4 linked regions of the Nothobranchius furzeri genome follow. The protein of the gene in region 3 interacts with the protein of the main gene of each other region in a pairwise test. Links are inferred from orthologs where the notes say so. Each region holds a gene or a part of one and is shown on either strand. Other genes may lie near its edges.

The links.
Region 1: the proteins of thap1 (region 3) and bag5 interact in binary tests that used the Homo sapiens proteins (3 or more experiments, as listed by UniProt). The two-hybrid records come from large-scale screens. The link is inferred for Nothobranchius furzeri from reciprocal best matches to the Homo sapiens genes THAP1 and BAG5.
Region 2: the proteins of thap1 (region 3) and phf1 interact in binary tests that used the Homo sapiens proteins (3 or more experiments, as listed by UniProt). The two-hybrid records come from large-scale screens. The link is inferred for Nothobranchius furzeri from reciprocal best matches to the Homo sapiens genes THAP1 and PHF1.
Region 4: the proteins of thap1 (region 3) and zcchc10 interact in binary tests that used the Homo sapiens proteins (3 or more experiments, as listed by UniProt). The two-hybrid records come from large-scale screens. The link is inferred for Nothobranchius furzeri from reciprocal best matches to the Homo sapiens genes THAP1 and ZCCHC10.

What each region holds. Positions count from the first base shown.
Region 1 is NC_091758.1:10,653,993-10,659,206, reverse strand, and holds the start of bag5 (BAG family molecular chaperone regulator 5), read right to left. Parts: upstream 3,118-5,214; 5' UTR 3,084-3,117; intron 2,886-3,083; 5' UTR 2,796-2,885; coding exon 2,743-2,795; intron 677-2,742; exon of another isoform or gene 541-676; intron 1-540. Other genes in the region: coa8 (cytochrome c oxidase assembly factor 8), read left to right, coding at 3,118-3,315, 3,775-3,838, 3,961-4,051, 4,269-4,389. UniProt on the Homo sapiens protein: Co-chaperone for HSP/HSP70 proteins. It functions as a nucleotide-exchange factor promoting the release of ADP from HSP70, thereby activating HSP70-mediated protein refolding.
Region 2 is NC_091745.1:62,274,850-62,278,227, forward strand, and holds the end of phf1 (PHD finger protein 1), read right to left. Parts: intron 1,695-3,378; coding exon 1,349-1,694; 3' UTR 1,214-1,348; downstream 1-1,213. UniProt on the Homo sapiens protein: Polycomb group (PcG) that specifically binds histone H3 trimethylated at 'Lys-36' (H3K36me3) and recruits the PRC2 complex. Involved in DNA damage response and is recruited at double-strand breaks (DSBs).
Region 3 is NC_091746.1:71,096,761-71,102,028, forward strand, and holds the start of thap1 (THAP domain-containing protein 1), read right to left. Parts: upstream 3,308-5,268; 5' UTR 3,193-3,307; coding exon 3,122-3,192; intron 1,380-3,121; exon of another isoform or gene 1,247-1,379; coding exon of another isoform or gene 1,245-1,246; intron 616-1,244; coding exon 423-615; intron 304-422; coding exon 1-303. UniProt on the Homo sapiens protein: DNA-binding transcription regulator that regulates endothelial cell proliferation and G1/S cell-cycle progression.
Region 4 is NC_091750.1:56,825,808-56,831,173, reverse strand, and holds the start of zcchc10 (zinc finger CCHC domain-containing protein 10), read right to left. Parts: upstream 3,267-5,366; 5' UTR 3,182-3,266; coding exon 3,141-3,181; intron 2,434-3,140; coding exon 2,272-2,433; intron 1,713-2,271; coding exon 1,671-1,712; intron 1-1,670.

The sequences.
Region 1 (5,214 bases), on a different chromosome or scaffold from region 3:
GTGCACGTACAGCATGCGCGCCTCGTGCACAAGCCTACTATTGAAGCTGCCGTTACGCTTTTGGCCTGAGGGGGCAATCACGAGCATAAAAATTCAAAACTCTGTAAAGTCCCTTTAAGAGAACTCAGCAGGAACACATGTCTGAAAACCTCAATGAACCGGAACAGCGGAATGGACCAGAACTCCCCCAGAACCTCAACACAACGTGTTCCACACTACAGGCACATTTTATTTAGGAGACAGACTTTTTGCTTTTACTTAAACTCTAGATGGTGTCTCTGGTCTCAGACACCTGATGAGATGTACCAGGTGAGCCCAATTAAGGAGAAACTACTGAAAAGGATTTTCCATTTTCAACCAGCTTGGCAAGAAAAACTATCTCTGCCTCTGAAAAGCATGAAACAGTTGAATGCCTTGGGTAAGGTATGAAAACCTTCGATATTTCACAAAAACCAAAGTGTGGGCAGAAAAAGGAGAGAATAACCTTAACTCTAACCCATGACCACAACCCTATAGGAAGCTTTTGCAACATCCTCTAACCTTTGTGGACTGCAGAGGCAGATCTCATCCAAGTAGGAGGTCTGGGAGGTGATTCTGACTTCCTGCAAAGAAACTTAAGCAGAAACTCTCCAAAAACTCAATGGATGCAAGAATCGTAATGCAACTATCAAACGAGAGGCCCTGTGTTAAAATGTAACCACACCTATTAGGATGGTTTTAACTGAAATAGCTTTTGATCTCAGTGAATATGGCCCCGATCCGACAATCAGCCATCTTTAGTTCCAGGGATTGTAATTCTGAATCATTAGATTTGACTGACGGGCTCTGACGCTCATGGTACCTGTCAGTCAAATCTAATGATTCAGAATTTCGATTAGGGATGTAAGAAAATATCGATATGGCAATATATCGTGGTATTTTTTCCTGCAATGGTTGTATCGATATTCAAAAGCCGTGTATCTAAATTTTGAGAGAATTTATTTACATGCAAACATTTGTCAAAAAATTTGCATATTGTGATAAAGTTCATTATTGTCAGTAATGTACTGATAAACATTAGACTTTCATATATATTAGATTCATTACACACAACTGAAGTAGTTCAAGCCTTTTATTGTCTATAATATTGATGATCTTGGCATACAGCTCATGAAAACCCAAAATTCCTATCTCAAAAAATTAGCATATCATGAAAAGGTTCTCTAAACGAGCTATTAACCTAATCATCTGAATCAACTAATTAACTCTAAACACCTGCAAAAGATTCCTGAGGCTTTTAAAAACTCCCAGCCTGCTTCATTACTCAAAACCACAATCATGGGTAAGACTGCCGACCTGACTCCTGTCCAGAAGGCCATCATTGACACCCTCAAGCAAGAGGGTATGACACAGAAAGAAATTTCAGAACGAAGAGGCTGTTCCCAGAGTACTGTATCAAGGCACCTCAGTGGGAAGTCTGTGGGAAGGAAAAAGTGTGACAGAAAACGCTGCACAACGAGAAGAGGTGACCGGACCCTGAGGATGATTGTGGAGAAGGACCGATTCCAGACCTTGGGGGACCTGCGGAAGCAGTGGACTGAGTCTGGAGTAGAAACGTCCGTAGCCACCGTGTACAGGCGTGTGCAGGAAATGGGCTACAGGTGCCGCATTCCCCAGGTCAAGCCACTTCTGAACCAGAAACAGCGGCAGAAGCGCCTGACCTGGGCTACAGAGAAGCAGCACTGGACTGTTGCTCAGTGGTCCAAAGTACTTTTGTCGAATGAAAGCAAATTTTGCGTGTCATTCAGAACTCAAGGTGCCAGAGTCTGGAGGAAAACTGGGCAGAGGGAAATGCCAAAATGTCTGAAGTCCAGTGTCAAGTACCCACAGTCAGTGATGGTCTGGGGTGCCATGTCAGCTGCTGGTGTTGGTCCACTGTGTTTTATCAAGGGCAGGGTCAATGCAAATAGCTATCAGGAGATTTTGGAGCACTTCATGCTTCCATCTGCTGAAAAGCTTTATGGAGATGAAGATTTCATTTTTCAGCACGACCTGGCACCTGCTCACAGTGCCAAAACCACTGGTAAATGGTTTACTGACCATGGTGTTACTGTGCTCAATTGGCCTGCCAACTCTCCTGACCTGAACCCCGTAGAGAACCTGTGGGATATTGTGAAGAGAAAGTTGAGAGACGCAAGACCCAACACTCTGGATGAGCTTAAGACCGCTATCGAAGCATCTTGGGCCTCCATAACACCTCAGCAGTGCCACAGGCTGATTGCCTCCATGCCACGCCGCATTGGGATTCCCGACCAAGTATTAAGTGCATAACTGAACATAATTATTTCAAGGTTGACTTTTTTGTATTAAAAACACTTTTCTTTTATTGGTCGGATGAAATATGCAAATTTTTTGAGATATGAATTTTGGGTTTTCATGAGCTGTACGCCAAAATCATCAATATTAGAAACAATAAAAGGCTTGAACTACTTCCGTTGTGTGTGATGAATCTAAAATATATGGAAGTCTAATGTTTATCAGTACATTACTGACAATAATGAACTTCATCACAATATGCTAATTTTTTGAGAACGACCTGTATGCTAACATCAGTACATTCAGTACCATACCCAGATGCACATTTCTGTTTTTGTGTCCTTTTTACTATTCTATTTTTTCCTAAGTAATGTCCCAGAGCATCATAGTATTCACAGTATTTAAAATGTCTAGAATATTTCTGACAATTATCTGTTTTTTCCGTACCGTTGCGTTGGTCTCTGGGTCTGGGATCGTGTTTTTCTCCTTGCTGCTTTCATCGTGATGCCTGTTTGGTTCTGATAAGCTCGCTGTCGTGTGGCGTTGACTCAGTTCAGCTCTGTGACGTTCATCTGTGGACAGGACCAGCTCTTCAACAGTTAAAGCACAGATAAATGTGTTTAAGCCTTTACTTGTCTCAGGATTAGTAGACAGTTTCCACACCACCCTACTTTTTCATGGTAGGAGACAGAAACAGACACCCTAAATAGCCTCCTAGTGGCTAGCTGCAGCAGCTTGGCTGGAACACGTCTAATTACCGTGTTGGTCCCAGACTGACATTAATTTACCTTCACAGTTTTGTATTTTGTTTTTGAAATGCAGCGGTCCACCTTCAGGCCCAAGCCCAGCTCCACACATGACTGGATCGGTCCACCGAACCCTCTGTCCAATCTGCGTCCCATCGTGTACCACATCCCCGAGAAGGAATCCGATCTGGAGAAGCGGCTGAGGATGCTGAGGCAGGAGACGGAAGACTGGAACCATGAGTTTTGGACCAAGCAGAACATCAGCTTTAGCAAGGTTAAAATGCTGCTTACAATTCTTTGTTGTCACCAGCAGGTGGCAGCAAAGCTCAATGGAGAAAATCCTTTGGAAAGTTTTCTTTGGAGTGAAATGAGTCGATGGTATCAGGTATGGTACAGTGTCCTTAGGAGGCTACGGTCACCTGCCGTACGAGGTCACGTGTTCATATTAGGGAAGTGTAACATGACTTGTGCTTCCAGCTTGCAGGATTTTTACAGGTGCTTGAAATTATAGCAGACGTCGAACAGTCTTATTTCCTTGATGAGACAAAGAACTGTTTTGAGCATGTATGTAAATCAAATCTGGCTGCACAATCCTAAATCTAAGCCCGAACGTGCTTGAATTTGATTAGGCAAAGATGTAATATCAGTGCGACCGCGTTATAAACTTGCCTTTGGATTCATTTGAATAGACAGACTTTTCCAAAAACACAACTGATTGATATAGTCTCTGCAGGAAAAAGAAGCTTTCATCATTTCGCATCTGAAGGCCAAAGGTTTGACTCTGCGTGACGAAGACGGTGAGGCTTCTCATACATATGTTCTGGTGTTTTTTACACAACAACGAAATGAAACTGAAAATGGAGTCAGGACTGTGAAAATGCTGAATGAAATCCACTTTGTGTCGGTTTGCTCCGCTCAGGAAGACGGCGGTCCCTGAACAGCGAAGAGATGGCTCTGTTTTACAAAAGCTTTTTGGACCAAAACAAGCTCCGACATGCAAATTATAACAGGTGAGTTGTTTTTGCGTCGGGTGTCGTTCCCCCCCCCCCCCACGCACACCTCTGTGGAGCTTTTCTCATAACGAGCTGCTGCGTGAGCCGGACACTTTGGACGTTTATTGTCAGTGTTGTTTGTGTTCAGGCTTTATTAGTTAAAGCCCAGGAAAAACCTCCACAGCATCATCAAGCTTCATCGTATTTATTATTTGCTGTCTCCTCCCCAATCCAGGGAGTGGTACCGACGTAACTTCAGCATCACGGTGCTCATGGCCCGAGTCGCTGTCACCAGCATGTGGAGGACTTTTACCGAGAGGCACCACAGGAAGAACAAAAGCTCTCCGAACACCTGACCGCATCATCCTGTTCAGTTTCATTAATTTTAGCTGCTGTCTAGACCTGCAACTACAAAGTTTGAGGTATTTATGAGTGACTATTTAAGAAATGTACAGAGAAGTTTCAGGGACATCACGTAAGGTTCTGAATGCTTTTGTCATTTAAAACACAGAAGCGTGCAGGGCTCCTGCTGCTTAGAGTGCTTGAGCAGATGTGAGCACAATAACATTTATAAATTCATGAAGGTCTCATTTGTTTATGTGCACTATAACAGGAATGCATGAGTTAGACAGCTGCTTTCTCATAAATAAAAATGTTTTATTTGTTTAATTTTAAGGGTGTTTTTTGGTGCAAAAACCAAAATAAATAGTTTGACTCAGACTTTGACCCGCTTCAGATTCATAATGATGCTTTAATCCCCGACAACCAGACCAGTCGCCTTGGCCCCACAACTGATGAGGACTAATGGTAAATGGTAAATGACCTGTATTTGATATAGCACTTTCTAGAGTCCTGGAACCCCCCAAGGTGCTTTACAACACAATCAGTCATTCACCCATTCACACACACATTCACACACTGATGGTGATGAGCTACGATGTAGCCACAGCTGCCCTGGGGCGCACTGACAGAATCGAGGCTGCTGAGCACAGGCGCCACTGGTCCCTCCGACCACCACCAGCAGGCAAGGTGGGTTAAGTGTCTTGCCCAAGGACACAGCGACAGACAGTGGGGCTCGAACCTGCAACCTTCCGCTTATGGGGCGAGCACTTAACTCCAGTGCCACCGTCGCCCACTAGAAGTGGGGGGGACACAACCGGGGGGGGGGGGGGGGGGGATGT
Region 2 (3,378 bases), on a different chromosome or scaffold from region 3:
TAGGGTCACGGACTATGTTTAGGAATGGAACAGACTACTTCCTGGCAGACTGCAGAGTTTTGTTCATCAGGAAACCCTCAGCTAAACTTTTAGACACATTTAGATTCAGAACAGCATTTTTCCTTAGTTTTCTGAATCCTCTGATTATTGTAATAAAAAAGTTAGGTCAGTGACTTGTAACTAGTATGTTTTATCTCTTAAAGGACCATGAAGGAAGTGGTCACATCCAGAACCATCAGGAAACTGTTCTAAAACCCAGAGCACTAATCCCAGGCACCAGCTTCTCTGGGCTTCATGTGGGATGAATCAGAACCTCAGGTGGTCGGACAGATCCGTATTCCAGATGTACGAGGGAAGAAATGGTTGTGAGAAACAAACAAGTCCATGAGCCCAGATGTGTGATGGTGCCACCTTGGAACAGAGCATTAATGAGGAAAAGTACAGCAGGGCCTGTAACCCTCACACTGTCCTAATGGGTGACCCCGCGAGGAGAGTTGACCATTGAGCAGGGTTGATGGTTAATCCCTTGGGTTCATGTGGCAGGGGTGAGGAGTGAGCACCACCTCACCCCTGCCACATGGATCTCAAGGGGTAAACCATCAATCCTACTTTCCTCGCGGGGTCACCCATGAGGACAGTGGGAGGGTTAAAGCCACACCTGCATCAGGAACAGAGACATCCATCAGAACTACGCTCTGCTGGCATCACAAAGCCCGGACAGGTTCTGGACCAGACTCATGACCCGTTTGAGTTTGCAGAGACAGAAAAACAAACTACTGCAGACCCTCGATGCCAGAACATCCTTTACATATCAGAGGAGTAAATATCAACATTTACAAAGTGTTTTGACTTTTGTGTTAAATGCAAGAACAAAAGAGCTGAAGACGTGGTGTCAAAAACAGGTTGGATTCGTTCTTCCTGGAATAAACTCATGTCATCATAAAACTTCCACAGGGTTTAGTTTTATTCTCATTTTCCACTCAGTCCAAGTGTCCTGCTGAATCTAACAGAAACATTCTTCTTTCTAGGATATTTATGGCAAAGCAGGAAAATAAGCAACATTTCTGATGCAAAAGGAAAAAGACGAGTTTTCTTCTCTAATGTTGAGCAACGTTTTGTTCTATGATGCGTCTCCGACTTTAAACAAACCATCAGCAGGCTAAAATAGTGTCACTGTAAAAGGCATCTTCCAAAGGGAACAGTACAAATATCAGAGGGACACCACATTTAGTCACGAGTAGTGAGGTTAGAGCGTGGAACTGAGGAGGACCTGGATCTGGAACACGGACGCTTCTTTTTTTTTTTTTGAACACGTATTAAATACACAACAGTCACTGTGCCTCCTGCTTCAGTACAAACTCACGTTGTCCCACTCTACCAGGTACTGCACTTTCCCATCTGGTGTGACACGCCTCGCCAGGATCCTCACCGCCTCCCCGCCTCCCCAGCTCCTGGCTACAGTCCCATCACCCCCTCCCATCCCCATCCCTGCTCTGCCTCCTGCTCCAACACCTCCCCCCGCGCCCACACCGGCCTGATAGGGAGGGACGTCACGCAGGACGAGGGGCTCCAGCTGCTTCTGGCCTGGCTGGTGCTGGTGGTGGTGGTGCTGGTAGAGATGGTGGTGATGGTTTCCACTGGAGTCAAAGGAATAAGGGAAGCACGCTGGTGTAAGTCTGCAGGTGTCTGCCGTGCTGGAAGAAAATAAATCAGTTTACACCATCGTGACTATTCTTTCAGACACAAATAAATAATTTGTTTATCAGATATTTAAATTTGACTTTTTTAAAGAAAGGGTAAGAGGTCATTTTCTGAAGCCTTTTTGCCATTTGTTAGAAATGCTCTCCACACACTGATGGCAACCAATAAATGAAATCATCCCAGAAAATCCTCCTCCAATAACAGTGAACGTCACTTTCTTAATGACCAATTTCACACGTTTTTTTTTCCCAACACATTTGCAGTCGTCTCTAGTTTAAATGAATGAGTCGACCTTTGTGGGGGAAACTGGCGCTTCTGTTTCAGAAACTAGAAGTGAGCCAGAGGAGAGGGGAGCGGCAGACGGCAGGTTTTGGAGTCTCATTTCCTCATATTCAGACATCTTGCCTCTGATTGGCTAACAGCGACTCTACCACTGACTCCATTTTCTTTGCAACGTTGATGTTTTGTCTTCACAAATACCTCAAGCCTGAAGAAGTTCTGCTGTTTGGTGGAGTTGCTAAAGCTAACAGTTAGCTTCTACTAGCCAAGATGTGCTCTGTTCTCTGCTGGATACTAAATCAACAACAGTCTTTCCCGTCGTGAGCCCAGATGGGTGAGTCCATGTATGCTAACTTTACCGTGTGATGTAGATCTGTGTGGCTTTTTCTCACCTAAGCATTTCCCCCTCTAATTTCTATCGGCGGCTAATGCAGGAAATAGTAGAAGACTATTTTCACATTTAGCCTGCATGTTAAACTCAAAGTGTAAGATCATACTTAAAAAAATATCAGGTAAAAAACAGTTTCTCAATTAACTTTAATGACTGGATCCTGATCCATCCATCACACTGCTCTTCTGACCTTCCCTCCCCGCTCTGCCATACCCCTCTATGTGCACTAATTGGCTCAGAGCAGCTGAAGAGGAAGTGACAGAGCTGAGCTAACTATATTAGCCAGCATACATTAGCCAGCATACTTCATTGTTATACAAAGAGATGTCCCATTCCGATATCAATATCGGAAGGAATTCGATATCGGCCCAAAAACACTGTATCGAATTATATCGGACTGCATCAAAAATCTCTGATATAAGCAGTCCGTTAAGGTTTACATTTTTGCAACCAATGGTTAAAAGAAATTGTCTTTTTTTCATACTTACTGTTATTGGCTCTTGTTCTCCGATTGAGTAATATCACTAGATTAAGCCTTTCATAAATTCCACACTACGAAATAAGTATAAGTCTGTATGATTTGTGCTGATTTCATATCGGATTGGTATCAGTCAATACTGAAGGCTGCAGTATTGGTATTGTATCGGATAGGGATGTGTATAGTGAAAGTATGGCGATACGATACGTATCACGATACAGGGGAGAAGATACAATATATCACGATTTATTGCGATACATTCAAACAACATTAGCAATTTTTTTAGACTGATTTATAGGAAAATTCAATAAACAGCCCAAACTGATACTTTACATGTTTAACGTGAGGTATCTGAACCTTAATAGAGGGGTTTACATTCCAATGGTGGAAACAAAACCCATTGCACACTGCTGCCAACTAGTGGTCAGCGTTTGAATTGCATCAAAAGAAAAGAAAATGTTTGCATGTAAATTCTTCCAAAAATTAGATGCATGGCTTTTGAACATCAATATAATATTGCAGGAAAAAA
Region 3 (5,268 bases):
CGCCTGGCAGGCCGCCCGCAGCCGCTTCAGCTGTCGCTCTTGACGACGACACTTCTGCTGCGTGGTCTTCAGCTTCTTCCTCAGCAGCTCCACCTGCTCCTCCAGCTGCTCAATGCGCTTCTTCTGCTGCGCCGAGTCCTCCGCCGTGTAGTTGTGATCGCAGGAGACCACCGCTGTGTCGCTTTGGGCATCGGCGGCGCTCCTGTCAGGCTCCTCCTCTTCCTCCAGGGTCGGGTCAGAGGTCAGAGGCAGAGAGAGAGGTAAGTGGATCTCTGGGGGAAACGGGTCTTCCAAAGATTCGGCCTGCAGGACAGAAACCAGACAGATTTGGGATTTTAAACCACACTTCAGAGTCTCAGGGTTAAAGCCTTCAGGGCCCAAAACATTCACATCCAGAACCAGAACCACACTGGGACTCTGACCTTCATGCTGAGGGTAAAGGTGAACAGCGACGGGACGGCGTTCTCCTTGAGAACCCGGTTGTTGCACTCCCTCTTGAAGCAGTCTTTGGTGAAATGCTGGGAGCAGATGTTGCTGTACTTGGTGGGTTTGAAGTTGTTCCTCCTCATGGCAGCGACCCATTTCCCACAAACATCTGGACGGGCCAAAGGAAACCTGGGAAAACACGTCAAATGGTACAACAGCTGGGGAAGTGAAGTCCTCACAGGAACGTCATTCAGATGAAGACAGGCAGTGTTGGGAACGTTACTTTAAAAAGCAATTAGTTATAGTTACTGATTACTTTGTCAAAAAAAGTAACTCAGTTACAAGATTATAAAAGTAACTAATTACCAAGAAAAATAACTACTTAGTTACTTTTTTCATTAAAGAATGCAAGAATTACTATAATAGTGAAATATAAATGACTAATGACTGGAACATAATAAAACCTGAATAATTTAAATAAATAAGCACTTAACAGGAGGAACTACTAATAGGAACATTACACTTATCTAGACTATTAAAAGGTCTCTGTGTGATATTTAACAAAAACCCAATCAGCTAACATTTAAAATTGCAAATAGAAACACCTGTAAAGGTTCCCGAGCCTTTAAATGGTCTCTCAGTCTAGTTAAATTACAGAAATAAATGTAATTTTCTACGGTATTTTAATTTTTCCAGCTTCACATAATTGTGTGTTTTTAGTAGCATTTCTGTTGCAGGTAATCTAGTAACGGTTAAATAAATAAATAAAATCCTTTAAAATGACACTAGAAGAGGCACAAGCCTGATGGAGGACTTACATTTACTAACTTGGGTCAGACCCAACCACAGAAGAGCTGAAGCTGGGTGGTAAACACACACAGGTAGTTCTGATAACACCTGAGCTCCATGACGTCTGAGACTGATGCATCAGTGTTACAGCGGGACTAAAGACATGATCAGAAACAGGTTACAGCTGGATGATCTAGGAAGGTAGAAGATCAGGACGTCTGAGAGGTGAACAGGTGAGCGGACCTTCGGGACGTCCCGCTGTCACGCTAAGAGCACGGCTGCAGACCCACAGATTCGCTACTGCAGCAGCGAATCATTCATCACGTCTTCCTCGTTCTTCACGGTCCGTGATGCTCTTGGATGAAAACATCTACCTCTTTAGCTCCTGATCAGCTGATGACAGCTTCAACACACCGCGCTGCTTAACGCACGCATTTCCTTATCAGTAACAGAAATGACGTTTTGATAAAAGAAGACGGTAATTAATTAGTTTGCTCGTTACAGGAACACTTTTTTTTTATTAACGCGGTTATTTTAAACGGCGTTATTCCCATCACTGCTCTGTTGTGTCTACAGAATGCAGCGACTGAGACCGTGAGGGTCTCCGCCCACCCGGCCAATCACCATCGTGTTTGTAAGTGCGTTACCGACACCTCTCTCTCCCTGGCTGCAGCTGAAGTGTGGCGGTCAGAAAGCCTCACGCTGCTGCTCAACGTTCGACAAGCACGTGGTAACGGTAACGGCGTTGCAGCAGTGGGAAAAGTAATCAATTAAATTATTCCGTTACCTAAAAAAGAACGCCGTTAGCAACGCCGTTATATTTAAACGTCGTTACTCCCAACACTGAAGACAGGTGAAACAGAACTACCTCATCACTTCTACTTCTAAACACAACTGGGCTCAGTAAAACCGACGGCTGCAGGTAGAAACACGAGAAGATCCGAAACGTCTTCAAGAACCGTCAGGAACCCAAACCATCAGAGGCTGAGAAAAGAAACCAGGTCCAGTGGACTAAAAAGGACCCATCCTGTGAGTCCAGTCTGCTCTAGATCAGGAGAGGATGACGGAGCTTTGGTCTGGTTCTGGTTCTGAGGACAAATCCAGACCGTCTCTACAGCCAGAGATGATTAGCATGGAGGTCATGACCTCCACCGGAAGGAGGACATGTTCTCACTCCATCAGAGCAAAGCACGGTGGTGGTGATGAAAATGAACAAACGTCAACTCAGACAAAGTGACTGATGAGTTCTGGAGGAACCAGAACCCGAGCCAGAACCAGCCTCTGTAGCTGATCTGTGAGAAAGCAGAATGATGAAGATTTTAGTGAAAAAATCCAAAATGATTCCAGCGATAAAATAAACGACTTTTAATAAAAACCTGAGTTTCTCCACGTGACCCGATGACGCCGCATTAATTACAGCAACTTTACTGAAGTACTGAATGTTTATCTAAACACCAGGAAGTGTGAAACACACCTGCGCCGACGCTCCTCCACACCTGGCCTGAGTTCTCTCCACACCTGGTTTTATGCTCCTCCTCACTTGGCTGCTGCTGCTCCACACCTGCTCTGATGCCCCTCCACATCTAGCCTGAGGCCTCGCCACACCTGGTTTTATGCTCCACCAGTCTGGACAACTGGAGGTGTTTCTGTGTTTGTAGAATAAACTGGTCCTAACCACTAGCTGCTCTGGTTTTGCTCCAACATGTCAGACTAATGGGACTACAACACCTGGACACCTGTTGAACAGGTGGTTCCTCTGTGAGGCCGCTGCTCGGACTTCTGCTTCATTCAGCACGAAAACATGAATGAATAGACTGCTGTGACTGAACGAGGCTGTTTCTGAGACCGGACCGAAGCTCGGGCGGGCTAACGAGAGTCGGCGCAGAAACACCGGAGCCGAACTTACTTGTGGAAGGAGACATCTTTGTCTTTGTGGTACCGGTTCTTACAGCCATAGGCTGAGCACGTCTGGACCATTGTTTCATCCCAGAAAACGAACCGAACCTCCGCCAAACCTCGTTGCCGTCAGTCCGATCAGGCTTCACTGCCAATAACAAACATGGCGGCGGAGACAGGGTCACCTGACCCGCGTTCTGCCCCCTGATTGGCCTCTCTTCCTGGTAACTGTCATTTTAGTGTGTGAAGCGAAACTTGTTAGAATTTTTTTTATTATAAATCGTTGCAGATAAAAAAAATAAAAATAAAATAAGTAAAGGATAAAATAAAATAGTCACAGAAGAGCAGTTGGACAAAAAACATCTTTTCTTTGAATGCTTTTAATAACTATCACTTGATTTCATACAAATATCCTTTTGTTGTCTTTTTACCGTGTCCTGTCCGGCTGTGAAGCAACCAGAACTGATGTCTGACTGCTGAAGACGAGCCTTGCAGCTTTATTCTCTCAGGTGGAGCTCACAGCTTCTGCCGTAGCCACTGCTGACACCAAAACTTTATTAGCAACACTTTCGGACACAGAGACAGCTGTGAGAGAAAGGGGGAGAGTGAAGGAAGAGGTGAGGGAGGATGAATTATATAAATAATAAATGATGAAGAAGAATCAGCTTCTGGAGAGAGAGAGAGAGAGAGAGAGAGAGAGAGAGAGAGAGAGAGAGAGAGAGAGAGAGAGAGAGAGCGTGAAAAGGAGACACACAAAAATACAACAAGACAAAACATCGCTGCTCCAACAGCATGAGGATATATAACAGTAACTGCTTATGCTGGGAAGCATACCATAATAATTCATAGTGCATTTAGATATGCAGGCAGACCGAGGCACCGCCCACCGGTAGAACAAGTGGCAGGAGGGTACGCGAAGATGTCGTAACACCTCAAGATGTCTCAGCAGAGGAGAGGAGTCCAAGACCCCACCTGACGTACATGCATCCCTCATGCTTACACACACACACACACACACACACACACACACACACACCCTATTCACTCTGGTCCTGGTACTAGTGATGGGAATGGCTCAGCTCACCAAAAAGAGCCGGCTCTTTCGGCTCCCAAGTGGCTCCTCAGATTTTCTTTTGCGCAGAATACATTTATAACCAAAATAATGCAAAACTATTTGTAAAATGATTTACTAATGTAAAAAAATGCTGTGTATCAAATATTTATCATTTCTATGGATTTAATAACTGAACACTTTAAGAAATCTCCACTTTCCGACTGCTGGCGCTAATTTTCTCACCGTCTTCGTCGCACTCTCCTCTCTCTGCCTTTTTCCTCCTCCTCATTCCCGCTCGCCTCCCTCCGCCCGCATGTGCTCTGCTGTGTGTCTGAGTCTGATCCTCCCTCTTCTCCGCCCCTACTGCTCTGTGTGTGGACAGTCTGGACACGCAGTTACACATGTTGACCAATCACCTGCAGCTTTCACCAAGGCAGGGGGGGAGGGGGAGGGCTCCCATCGTTCACTTCAAAGAGTCGGCTCTTAGAGCCGGTTCGTTCGCGACCGACACATCACTACCAGGTACTACTGCGCAGAGGACACAACCATCCCTGGACACCAGAGCTAGCCCCGTTCTAATTAAATAATCTAATCTCTGCTCCAAACACAAGACAATAAATCTGCTTCAAATGCATTTATTTATTTTTACCCAAATTCTGCTTTTTTCTTTATTGCCTACTCGTATACTCCATTCTGAATTGTGTTTTCCTCTATTATTACTATTGTAGTGTTCACCTAAATCACGCCGGATTACGAAAGTTTCAAATCTAATAAAACTTAGAGTAAATCTGAACAATGAAATAAGTTTTTAAGTAAAAAAAATATTCAATAACTTATTAAACGTGCTTCAAATCTGTCTGTAGCTCATTATTTATGCATATGGATGTTTAAAGTTGATCTCCATGAGTCTTGTTTTACAGCCTAAATTAGAACATTTATATTAAGAAACGAGAGAAAATGGTCAGAAAATGTGAAAAAAAAACAAAAGCAAAAAATATATTTAAAAATAGGTAGAAGTCTTCTGAGCCCTCAGACCGACCTGAAGGTTCCTGCAGAGCTTCCACAGCAGGTCTGACTCGTCTCTTGCTGAGCTTTGCACGCCG
Region 4 (5,366 bases), on a different chromosome or scaffold from region 3:
TTTAGCCAATAATAGCTTATTTGAAACACATGTAAACACCAGTTGATGCAACAACAAAAAAAAAGCATTTATTGCAAACACATTAAAATTGAATTTAAGTACTTTTTACTGAACAGTTTTTAACCCTTTAGGCCCAAGGCCTTTTTTCTTTGGGCCCTGGCACCTCCCAGTTGGGGGCCTTTGGAGTTCCATGTCCCAAGTCCCCGAGCACAACTACAGCTACTATCAAAACTGTTTAGATTGTAAACAAAGTAATTTTTGGATTTTGATACATTAAGATAAAATAATACTTGAACTGTATGTTAGAAGAGCTGCCCTGTGTGAAAGTGCTGACAGGATGGAGGTTGTGAGTTCAAATTCCATTTAGGAAATGTTGTCAATTGTTTTATTTATTCCAGGGTCCTCAACTAAATGTGTTCAAGGGTTTTTTCCCAGCAGACACCAGAGAAGGTCAGATGCTCTTCTAAAATAAAGTTCAAAGATCGTTGTATCTTAATTTATTACCATTTAAAATGGCCTTGTTTCCCATCTGGGCTGTTTGATTGTGGTTTTAGTTGTGTTTGGAGAACGTGGACAGTTGTAGATGTTTGGGACATGAAACTGTAGAGGCACCCAATTGGGGGGCGTTAGGGTTAAACAGGCTAAGATACATTTAAATCTTTTTATAATTACTTTTTTAATTGACTTTCCAATTAATCTGTAACAACAATTTAACTGATGGAAAATGTGAAGCTGTTCTACTATCACAGTACAAAAGAAACAAGAATCAAATGTAAATTCACTAAGAGTCTTGTCTAAAAACAGACAATAACCAAGAAAATGGTTTCACTTCTCATCAACTGCCACTAGATGGAACTGTTAAGTCACAATTCTGTTTAAAGTGGTACAAGTTGAGAAATATGAACATAAGAATTAAAATATCATCTTTATGAATAAAAAAATCTTTTACATCCAAAAATGAATGACTAGAAATGACCACACCACAGCTATGAAACTTCTTTAAAATATTTCAATATAGTAAATTATAGGGATGTAAGAAAATATCGATATGACAATATATTGTGATATTTTTTCCTGCAATATTGTATCGATCTTTAAAAGCCACATGGAATTTACATGCAAACATTTGTGTATTTTCTTTTCTTTTGGTGCAATTCAAACGCCGACCACTAGGTAGCAGCAGTGTGCAATGGGTTTTGTTTCCACCATTGAAATATAAATCCCTTTCTCTATTCCACCTTCCTCAGGATGCACTGATTTCCCTCTTTCCTATTCACTCTCTCTCTCTTTCTTAACATTTTTTTTAATCACAATTGTCTATTTTTTGCTCATTTTAAATATATTTTTAACCATTTTCTAAATTATTTTTTATATTTTTACATTTTTTGTTTTTGTGAAGCGCCTCGTGATTTTTATCTTGAGAGGCGCTATAGAAATGATATTTTCTTCTTCTTTATAAGATACCTTATATTGAACATGTTACATTTCAGTTTGGACTGGACTGAGTTTCCCTACAATAAATTCTGTCAAAAAAAAATGCTAATATCATCTGGCTGAATGTATCACAATATATTGTGATATATCGAATTTGTCTCCCCTGTATCTTGATACGTATCGTATTATCAGAGTTTCACCAATACACATCCCTAGTAAATTATCAGATTACTTACTTCTTTTTTGTTTTCTTTTCACTGGAAGCTTCTCCTCCAGGTCTGTGATGTGGAAAAATCACAACATTATATATAGTTCAGTCACTATTGATAAAATCATTTGTTTGTATTTTTATGTATTTTAGTTAAACAAATTCAACTTCTATTTGAGATCATTTGAAACACTGTCAAAATTTAAGAATTATTTATAAATCTAATTTCACTGTAAAAACTGAGTTCTCAGTTATAATTATCATTTTTTGTGGGTTTATTTATGCACAGTTAGGCTGGGCGATCTAGCCTAAAATCAATATCACGATATATTGAGGATTTCACCTTGGTATGCGCAGAAACAAAAGTTGTCCATAAATGGGGCTGTCACATGTATTACGTTGAATCAAATTTTTAAGTCACTCAAGGTTGCACAGCTTCTTAAAGGGACATGGATTTTGCCAACCTACACACATCTTTTCATTTTTTTATTATCAAATTTAATGACATGGGAACATTTATCGATAAGAGTCAGAAATTTCAATAACGATACATTTTCGATTTATTGCCCAACCCTACATGAAGTCCAGGTGTAAATGACTTGTCCTTCAAACTGTCAGAGATGACTCACCCTGTGATGCTGAGAGGTTTGTTTTCTATCTCCTTCAGCTTCTTTTTCATTTCGGTTGTTCTTGACGGTCGGTGCAAATATTTCCGTTTCCCAGTGCACTCGTAAGTCCAGTGTCCCATCTCCAAGCACTTCTGACAACGCACATTTTGTTTGTTTGCCTCCCTGTAAGCAATAAAAATAAATAAATACCTTCCAAACAGGAAAAAATACATAAACTACAGAAGTAAGACATTTGCACATACATGTATTTGTTGTCAGATTACTTAAAATTAATAATGAATGGAACAAATGATTCCAGTATAAATTATGAAAAAAATGATGGCTGCCGTAGTTTAACTCCACCAGCAGGTGTCACTATAAGCAATGAATGATGCATCGAAGACGTGAACCTCTGGGCAAAGAAAATAGTTGAGAAGCTACACGAAGCTTTATGTAGCCATCTCATAATTAATACACTAGTAATGAATACTTCATTTTAAACTCAGAAACTCGCAGGTGTTCCACCAAAGAAACTGAAACCCCACCAATAATCACAAATTATCAAAACTCTGCCCAAGTCCCGATTCTTCTCAATACTTTGATCCGACTATTGGTTATAACTATATTGACATTAACATCGATGTAAACAAAATTATTTTTTACTTAAACTGGGGTATTATAAAAATAAATAACAGCTTCAGAAGAGTACAGTTTCACACAACGTAGCGCTTCGTAGAGCCGCGGGATGCCCGTCCCTCCAAGTTCGTTCTTTACAGGCTGAATGTAAAACTGTAGGTCAGCTATAGACCGCACGTGGTAACGTAACAAATGTAGACACAAAATATACTAAAATAATATTGCTACGCTAAGTTTAAAAATGTTTTACTCACGCTTGTCTTCTCGCTATTATTCTATGCATGGGAGTCGCCATGTTTGAAGTCTCTTCTTCGTTGGTGTCAGCTCAGGGCCTATTTCCGGAAATGTAAAGGAGTGAAAAGAATACGTAACCACCCGTGTCGTCGCCATTTTGGATGGGTCTCTTCATTCTCCGAAGGCAATGCAGAGTACGCAACTATGCCCGTTTTTGTGCATCCCACGGTTACAACAACCCGCGTACAATTGTAAATAGATCATGTGGGATTACTATAGTGACTTTTCTAGCCTACCTGATAGGATTTTAGATTTGTATTTGTTTATTTATTTTGTTTAATTACACTGACAGACACACTGACAGAGGCAGACTCGCCTCTGGTAGTGTGCCGAATGGAGACTAAGATGGCAGCCGGCCACTTCGGCAGCTCCAATAGGCAGCGCCATCCCATGAGGTGTCTACGTATTTACTCTTTGTATGGGGTGACACTGGCACAGGAGTTAAGTGCTCGTCCCATAATCGGAAGGTTGCAGGTTCAAGCCCCACTCAGTCTGTCGCTGTTGTTGTGTCCATGGGCAAGATACTTAACCCCCCTTGCTTGCTGATGGTGGTCGGATGGACCAGTAGCGCCAGCGCTCGACAGCCTCGCCTCTGTCAGTGTACCCCAGGGCAGCTGTGGCTAGAATGTAGCTCATCGACCAGACCAGGGTGAGCATGACTGTGTTGTAAAGCACTGTTACGTCCCCGACAGGAGGTGTTAAAATGTGAAGGAAGGGGAACACAAGAAACATGATAGTGGGTTTAAAATGGGTTTAATTGTTATAAAAGGTTCTAAAAACAAGTGCAAACAGATGGTGAGCATTGTTTAAAAAATGCCAAACAAAAAAAAAACTCTCAAAAAGGTTAACACTAAAAGACCAATTACCAACATTAAAAACACCTGGTTAAAACTTATATTAAAAGTTTTACTGAACAGAAAGTGTTTCCAAAATCTTCAAGTTGATAGTAAAATCTGACACACTAGAAAAACACTGAGTGTTTTAAAATCCCAAAGTCAGTAAACTACAACGTTAACCTTAAAACCAAGTCAACCAAGTTGACATCAAACAAAGATCCCTTTGGATCACTCAGAGTTAAAACTATTAAAATTAAGACTCATCAAAATGAAGGGGTTGAAACCAAAATGAGGCATGAATAACAGCTTAGCCCCTGCACTGCTGCCTCCCAGACTGCTGAAGGCACGGCCTTTTTATCCCAGGTGTAGGTCACCAGATGATTTAGCTCAGCTGTGCTCCTCAGCAGCCTGGAAGAAAGGAGGAAGAGGGGCGGTGCCTGGCTGATCACCGAGGCTGGGTGATCCTGGCTCCTGCACCTGAAGAGGCCAGGCTGGTGGCCACAACAAGCTCCTTGGGAGGTTCCAGGACTCTAGAAGGTGCTATGTCAAATACAGGCCATTTACCATTTTACTTTGGTGCCTGTCACTATTTAACAGGCACTCAACCCGTTAGAGAATGCTCGACTTTCAATTTGTTTAAAGGCAAATGTTAAAAACTGGTTATGGACAAATCAAGTGTGTGATCATGTACGAGTTGTATAGTTTTGATGTTTTATTTGTGAATAGAATGGCGTAGGTTTGGTGATGGAGTTTTGATTATGAATGAATGATGAATTTTCATGAATCATTATGTCTTTTTATGTCTAAGGACAACAGATGGAAATTAGCCTTTGGCTATAATCTGGCATGTTTACATTCATGTAAGCTGCATTTACATTTATGTTCATTAACATGCACTGTCCTAAATAAATAAATAAAGAGCACTTTTCCTGGTATGTGTGGGGGGTGTCTGCTCTGTTTCCTCGATCCTCAGTGAGTCGTGGCGGATGGCAATTCCTACTGAGCCAGGATCCTCTGGAAGTTTTTCTTGTTAAAAGGGAGTTTTCCACTGTCGCTACTTGCTTAGTATGAGGATTGCTGTAAAGTCACTGACACCAGTCAGTGACTCCATGCAATTTGCTAGGTTCCTTATATAGGAAACTTTTTACTGATTGGCTTAATGAACTGAACCGCTTTAGAATGTTTACTTTGTGAAGTGCCTTGAGACGACTCTTCTTGTAATTTGATGCCATATAAATAAACTGAATTAAACACAATTTAATTGACTTCATCATTTAGGACTTGGTCCTGATGATGGATCTACAGATGTTCTTTGGTGACTCTTATTTACATGCGTGCAGACATGATGCT